Linked DNA regions of Neurospora crassa OR74A. The protein of the gene in region 1 interacts with the protein of each later gene in a pairwise test. Links are inferred from orthologs where the notes say so. Each region holds a gene or a part of one and is shown on either strand. Other genes may lie near its edges.

The links. The genes of interacting proteins can lie anywhere in the genome.
Region 2: the proteins of NCU02407 (region 1) and NCU02438 interact in binary tests that used the Saccharomyces cerevisiae proteins (3 or more experiments, as listed by UniProt). The link is inferred for Neurospora crassa OR74A from reciprocal best matches to the Saccharomyces cerevisiae genes LPD1 and KGD2.

The regions. Positions count from the first base shown.
Region 1 is NC_026507.1:2,606,953-2,610,704, reverse strand, and holds NCU02407 (dihydrolipoyl dehydrogenase), read left to right. Parts: upstream 1-924; 5' UTR 925-1,392; coding exon 1,393-1,451; intron 1,452-1,538; coding exon 1,539-1,591; intron 1,592-1,663; coding exon 1,664-1,743; intron 1,744-1,830; coding exon 1,831-2,535; intron 2,536-2,610; coding exon 2,611-3,228; 3' UTR 3,229-3,668; downstream 3,669-3,752. Other genes in the region: NCU02406 (nuclear protein), read left to right, coding at 1-70.
Region 2 is NC_026507.1:2,482,756-2,486,507, forward strand, and holds NCU02438 (dihydrolipoamide succinyltransferase), read right to left. Parts: upstream 2,447-3,752; 5' UTR 2,051-2,446; coding exon 1,808-2,050; intron 1,653-1,807; coding exon 1,314-1,652; intron 1,255-1,313; coding exon 862-1,254; intron 806-861; coding exon 509-805; 3' UTR 149-508; downstream 1-148. UniProt on the Saccharomyces cerevisiae protein: The 2-oxoglutarate dehydrogenase complex catalyzes the overall conversion of 2-oxoglutarate to succinyl-CoA and CO(2).

The DNA.
Region 1 (3,752 bases):
GGAGGGTTGCAAGACGGCCATGGCGGCCTTGGAGCATGCGCTGCTCGCCGCCGAAGGCTTGGTGGAATAATTTTGCTTTGTTGGATACCTGTATATGGATCGGATATCTTCGGGAATAGCAACATAATGATCAGGGATACAAGTGTGCCGGGGTCTATACAAAAGGCCATTGACCAATATCATGACAAGTTCATGGAACTAACCCAAGCATTCTCGCTCGAATGTAGTTACCTACTTTGTAGATATTAGCGTTGACGGCGGGACTGGAAAAGTTGGGGGTAGCTTTAAGTTGGGGAACTTGTTGTCAGGAAGGGCGATTTGCTACTAGGGATCCAGGGAGCAACCGACTCGAGTGTGCGGGAGCCCGGAAATATAGTGGTCTGTGAATAGCACTCAATGATGTCATTTCGTCTTGCAACGAAGGGACAGGGTTTCATGAGGGTCGGGCGGGACTCTTGATTGTGGACATGAAGAGGAGGCAGATGGTTTGAGATGAATTGCCTGCCATGTGTCATGTCGTTCGACAAACAACTAACCTCTAAGACGGGTTAGGGACAGGTTATGCTTCTCCAATTCGGCAGCTGGGCAAGCTGGGGTTATTTGGCGTTGACGGGCGGAGTAAAGAGGGGAGCAAAGAGGGGATCGCGCCAAGGAGCAAGATGAATGTCAAACACAACCTAAGCTGTCAGAAAAATGGCTACAATACATAGCGGGAGTGCAGAGATGTCAAAATTTTGGAGTCAGCTGCTGCACGCCAAGTTCGTCTTGACCAATCACAGGACGCAATGGAGCGTACCTAGTACCGTACGTATTTGGGGACGGGTTTCTTCGACGAAGCAGTCAGGGCAGCAGCGACAGTAAAGTAAGACGGCGAAGAGCGCGCTGCCCGTCCCGCCTAACACTGGCATCATAGTACTTTTACTTCCTGTAGCACACTACCTCTACACTACTAACACGATCAGGCAGTACCTACCTACCTATTTAGTGTAGCGTACGCGAGATTAGAGGTACCTACTACCTACCTAGGTAGTGGTGTTCCTACTCCGCTCCGTTCGTACCTACCTCTACCTACTCCGCTCTGCGCTGTCTCGAGCGGGCCAGCTTGGGGACGGGCACGGTGGAAAGCGGGTGCCCTTTGAGCGATGTGAGCCTCTGACGGGCTGGCAACCCGAACAAGTGGGACTGGACATTTTTCGCTTGCCGTGAATAGCTTCCGCCTCGAATCCCAACAATTGTCTCTCCCGCGGCGTTTTGCAGTTCAGTACACACTTTCGACGTCTCACCATCGAATCGCATTCCCTGCTTCCCCGGGCATCTCTCTGCAGTGCGCTCGTTCCTTCGAATTTTCCCTGTTTCCATTTCTGGTTTTTCCATTCAGCACATACTTTCACCATGCTGTCCCAAAGATTAATAGGCCGTGCTGCCGTCCGGTCCGCCTTCAAGCCCTCGGGGTAAGCTCACTGTCCCGGTTGCCGGCGGATGCCCGACACACTGTTTTCTCATGCGCGTACTGAGGCTGACCTGACGACCACATACAGGCTCCCTGTCGTCGTTTCTCCCAGGTTGAGGAGGACCTATGCGACCGAGTCTGGTCTGTTTGCCAACATCAAGAGCTGGTTCTCGTCAAAGGATTCTGGTCGGCTGACTGTTGATGTGCCCGTAGAGGAGAAGGATCTCGTCATCATTGGAGGTGGCGTCGCTGGCTATGTTGCTGCCATCAAGGCCGGCCAGGAGGGTCTCAAGGTGCGTCGCATCGCGAATCAACTACACCGCAACACCGACGAATGACGACAATATCTGACTGCTATCTCCCATGTTGCCTGGAAATAGGTCGCCTGTATCGAGAAGCGCGGCACCCTCGGCGGTACCTGCCTGAACGTCGGCTGCATTCCCTCCAAGTCGCTCCTCAACAACTCCCATCTCTACCATCAGATCCTCCACGACTCGAAACACCGCGGCATCGAGGTCGGCGATGTCAAGCTCAACCTCGCCCAGCTTATGAAGGCCAAGGAACAGTCCGTCAGCGGTCTTACCAAAGGTGTCGAGTTCCTCCTGAAGAAGAACGGCGTCGAGTACATCAAGGGTGCTGGCGCCTTCGCCGATGAGCACACCATCAACGTCAAGCTCAACGACGGCGGCGAGACCTCCGTCAAGGGCAAGAACATCCTTATCGCCACTGGCTCCGAGGTCACCCCCTTCCCCGGCCTCGAAATCGACGAGAAGCGCGTCATCAGCAGCACTGGCGCCATTGCTCTTGAGAAGGTCCCGGAGAAGATGCTCGTCATCGGTGGTGGCATCATTGGTCTCGAAATGGCTTCTGTCTGGTCCCGTCTCGGCGCCCAGGTCACCGTCATCGAGTTTCTCGACCAGATTGGCGGCCCCGGCATGGACCTTGAGGTTGCCAAGTCCATCCAGAAGATCCTGAAGAAGCAGGGCATCAACTTCAAGACCGGCACCAAGGTCGTTTCCGGTGACAAGACTGGCGAGACCGTCAAGCTCGAGGTCGACTCCGCCAAGGGTGGCAAGCCCGAGACTGTGAGTGGCCCATGATACCCTGCAGGCTATCTGTTCGTTGTCGTGATCTTCAAAGCTGACATTGTTCGAACACAGCTCGAGGGTGACGTTGTTCTTGTCGCTATTGGCCGCCGTCCCTACACCGAGGGTCTCGGCCTTGAGAACATTGGACTCGAGAAGGATGAGCGCGGCCGTGTCATCATCGACTCCGAGTACCGCACCAAGATCCCCCACATTCGCTGCGTTGGTGATGTCACCTTCGGCCCCATGCTTGCTCACAAGGCTGAGGAGGAGGCTGTTGCTGTCGTCGAGTACATCAAGAAGGGTTACGGCCATGTCAACTACGGCTGCATTCCTTCGGTCATGTACACCTTCCCCGAGGTTGCCTGGGTTGGCCAGTCCGAGCAGGAACTCAAGAAGGCTGGTGTTCCCTACCGCGTCGGTACCTTCCCCTTCAGCGCCAACTCCCGTGCCAAGACCAACCTTGACACTGAGGGCATGGTGAAGATGATCGCCGACCCCGAGACCGACCGGATTCTCGGTGTCCACATCATCGGTCCTAACGCCGGTGAGATGATTGCTGAGGGTACCCTTGCCCTCGAGTATGGCGCTTCCAGCGAGGATATTGCCCGCACCTGCCACGCTCACCCTACCCTCGCCGAGGCTTTCAAGGAGGCGGCCATGGCCACTCACTCAAAGGCCATCCACTTCTAAGCAGCTGGAGCGTTTTGGCGTTGAATGGCTCTAAGCACGGAAAAATGTGCTGTCTGGATTTCTAGCATTGGGAGTATGGAAAGAGGATGGGAGGAGGTGTGTACTTGTACTGTAGTCACGGGCTTTCCCTCGAGGGTTTAATAGGGGATTTTCACATGACATGCTAAATAGACGCCGCTTGTTGGTTGGACTAGGGCTATTTGGCCTTGCGGGTCCTGGTTGGGCTCGAGACTCGATGAATACACGAGATTTTAAGAGATACAGAAAAGCTACCTTGGTTGCCAGATGGGATGGCAGGAAGGCTGCTGGTTATTTTATGTTAACATTGCCGAGTTATCAGAGGGCTGTGGGTTTTGGATGATTCTTGTCTGTTCTCCATGCTGGTGCAATTACTTCTTAGTCCGAGTAGCAGTGCCCATCAATGCCGGTCTTCAACTTCGTTCTGGTGTTAATGTGTATTCTCGTGTACAGGGCATGTTGCTTGGCATGACGTTATTTGTTTGATAAGCCATCGCTCAGGGACC
Region 2 (3,752 bases), about 120 kb from region 1:
CCAGTACCCGTATCAACTGTGCTGCCCCCGTTACACCTTATAGCAATAACCTGAATTGGAAAATTCAAGATTACTAGACAAAACGGCCAGTATTATATAACAGCTGTTATCTAGTAGAAACAAAGTACCTCTAAGGAATAGGGTAGGTGCGAGGAGGGATTCTCGTGATATATTACGGGTCTACTAAATATAATACAGCACCTAGGGTATACTAAAGCTTAATGTTATTAACAAAGCGGAAAAGGTTTGTAGGCTGGGAAAGGCCTACAGCCCGGAAGCTAAGTACTAGAAGAGAACAGGTGGCCTAAGGCATCGGCCAACTAGGGAGCGTGCCTCGGCTCTGCGGCTAGGCATCATATCCCCAGGCGCCAGACCCATTACACTCACATCCCAATGACTTAACTCTCAATACTCTGTTGTTCTTATCATTGTTCAACCCATATGATATGGGAGCACTAGAAGCCCGGTGCAATACACACGATCTTTGATTTTTTGCCACTACAACAACCTAAAGAAGCATCTTCCTGGGGTCCTCAATGTACTCCTTCACCTTAACCAGAAACTGGACAGCCTCCCTGCCATCAAGCAGCCTGTGGTCGTAGGTGAGAGCCAAGTACATCATGGGGCGAATTTCAACCTTTCCATTAACAGCAACAGGTCGCTCCTTGATAGCATGGAGACCCAAAACTGCGCTCTGAGGAAGATTGATGATCGGGGTACCCATTAAGGAGCCAAAAACGCCTCCGTTGCTAATGGTGAAAGTGCCACCGGCCATGTCCTCAATGGTGAGCTTACCATCACGAGCCTGCGATAACAGTTAGTAAGGTAATATAAGCACTCCATAGGCGCGGGAAGCCGTACCTTTTTGCCCATATCAGCGATGGACTTCTCAATGCCAACGAGGTCCATGGCTTCAACATTGCGGACTACGGGAGTGACAAGACCCTTCTCGGTGGCCACAGCGACACTGATGTCAACATAGTCCCGATAGACAATGGTGTCACCGCCATTGGGACCCTCAATCGAGGCATTTACGGCCGGGATATCGCGCATGGCCAAGACACATGCGCGGGAAAAGGCACTCATGAAGCCGAGCTTGACACCGGTCTTCTTAAGGATCTCGTCCTTGTACTGCTTGCGGAAATCCATCAGGCCCGACATGTCAACTTCGTTGAATGTGGTAAGCGAGGCAGCCGTGTTCTGGGACTGCTTGAGACGCTCGGCGATGCGGAGGCGCATGCGGTTCATCTTGACCTGGAGGGTGTTAGTTTGACCGATTCACCACTCCGTTTGCTCAGGAGCCGTTTACTTACTCTGCGCTCCTCGCGATTGCCCAATGCAGCCGGGGCCTCCTTCGCAGGAGTACTCTCCTGTTTGGGGGCAGGAGTTTCCTTCTTGGCGGGCGTAGGAGCAGGAGCAGCGGCGGGCTTGGTCTCCTTCTTAGGCTCCGGAGCCTTCTCAGGAGCAGGAGCGCTGTCCTTGGGAGCAGCCTCCTTGCTCTCGGACGCGGCCGGCTTTTCGGCACCGCCCTCTTTGGGCGCACCACCAAGCTCTAACCGGACGATGTCCTGGCCGACTGTGACAGTGTCCTCCTCATTGACGAGGAACTCCTTAATGGTACCGGCCTCGGGAGCGTTGACGGCAACATCGATCTAGAACCCAGTGGCAGAAGCAGTTAGAAAGCAAATATATGTGCCGCTGGCGAGCTATGACCGTAGAAAGAGGCAGGACAGGGGGGCAGACAGCATGTGCTCCAAGCGGTCTAGGCTCCGACACCGGCACGGGACTAAGGAAGCGTCGTACACACCTTGTCGGTCTCGATGGTCGCGATCTCTTCGTCCTGCTCGACATAGTCGCCAACCTTCTTGTTCCACTGCTTCAAGGTACCCTCACTGATGGACTCGGCCATTTGGGGGACTTTGATGACCTGATCGGCGTAGGTGCGGACATGCTGGAACTGCAGGGGAAGCTGCCGGAGTGCGGGCGTCGCATTGCAGAGCGCGAGTTTGGGAGCGGCGCGAGCCGCAAGACGAAGACCTTTGTACAGCATAGTAGCGGGATGTCGGGCAAAGGAGCAGGAGTTGGTAGGGACGCAAGATAAAGATGTGCCTTTTGAGAGGTTTTGTAGGACCAAGGTTGGGGGGAACAGCGTCGGATGAAGAACGCGAAATTGGCGGTTGTGATGAGATTTGTCGTGAGGCTACAGGTCCCGTTCTGACTCGGCGACAATGACGCAGCACCCAGCACAGAAATCTGCCGGGACAACCGGAAAACTAACGGTCAGATCGTCTGCGACCCAGAGGAAGGGTACATTAACTCAATTGCATTTTAGATATCGTATAAGCTGTCAAATTCACTCCCGCATAATAAGCGACTCCCGCGCATTTCCAACAAGTTCTTGCACCAGCATATGTTTTGCACACAGTAGCTCTACGCGACCTTTTTTTTTTTTTTTTTTTTTTTTTTTTTTTTTTTTTTTGCGCTTTCTCCGCACCGCACGGCAGCGCAGCACACCAGCCTCACCGTACCTGTTACCTCTAGGTAGTGTAGTGTCCATGTCACACCTGTAAACTGAGTAAGAAGAAACTACACTAAGTAGAGTCCCCTACCAGCCTACCTAGAGTAGGTAAGCCTATCTGGCCGTCCTTCACGGCGTCACGGGGTCAGCCTCGCAGTTTGCTGGGACGGGGAACATCTTCTGGAAACCAAAGGAGCTATCGCAAGAATCATTCCGGGGTGCGACCCGGTAGCCTGCACGGTCCAGGGATCAGCCTGCACCGAACACCTCCATAGCACTTAAATTATCATTCCAAACAAGCCTCCCTAGGTTTTACCCTATGGACGGATCGATGTTCCCCTCAGGCAACCGGTTTATTGTCAAGCATCACGCTTGAGTGTGAAAGGTACCCGAAAGACAGCAAACCTAACAATCTACGTATAGACGTACAATTCCTATCATCCCATACTGGGCACCATTTTCTTAGCGTTCAAGTGCTCATCCATTTTCTATCCTATTGTCCGTACTCAGAGTACCCTGGACCCCCTCCCCAGCATGTGCGCTAGCTCGAGGCTAGCATGTCGTAGACGCTTGGACCTCTGGTTCGCTCATCCGTCCGGGTCACCGTTTACACCGTCGGAGTAACGGATCTTAAATATGGGTGTCGGATCACCCAGGTCTCGAGGCTTTTAGACCGCATTGGTATTCATCACGTCCCTCGTAGGCAATTAGCGATTTGCCTAAGCAATCTCAATCGATCAGGTTTAAGTTACTCTTGCCTACTATATGAATGTAATAGCAAATGAATAGGGACGTCATCGTAATCTATAAAGATAGGTAGTAGCTGCATGTGCCTCCAATGGCAGTGTCCAAAGCACAGATTTGACTAGTTTTGGGTAGCCAAGCAAGACGCAAGGCTTGTAAGACTCGGCAAAGCAAAGATCACTTCCCTTCTTGGTATGTACCTAGTGGAGTGAACTGCGTACACAAGTAGACGAAATGTGAACCCAGTAATGTATATCGCCAGGTGCTGAAGTGATGATTTGTGCCTTAGGCAGCCACCCTCCAGTACGGAAGCGCGTCCTGCAAGCCCATCCAAATCGCCTGTGTAGAGCCCCCGGTGTCAACGTACCTCTTCCCAATTGCGCAATTGCGGATTCCCCCATCATTCCAATCTTATCCTACCATTCACCGCCTCAGCCCGAAATCGCACGACAGCCGATTATCACTTGTCTCTACCGTAGCCAAAGAGGTA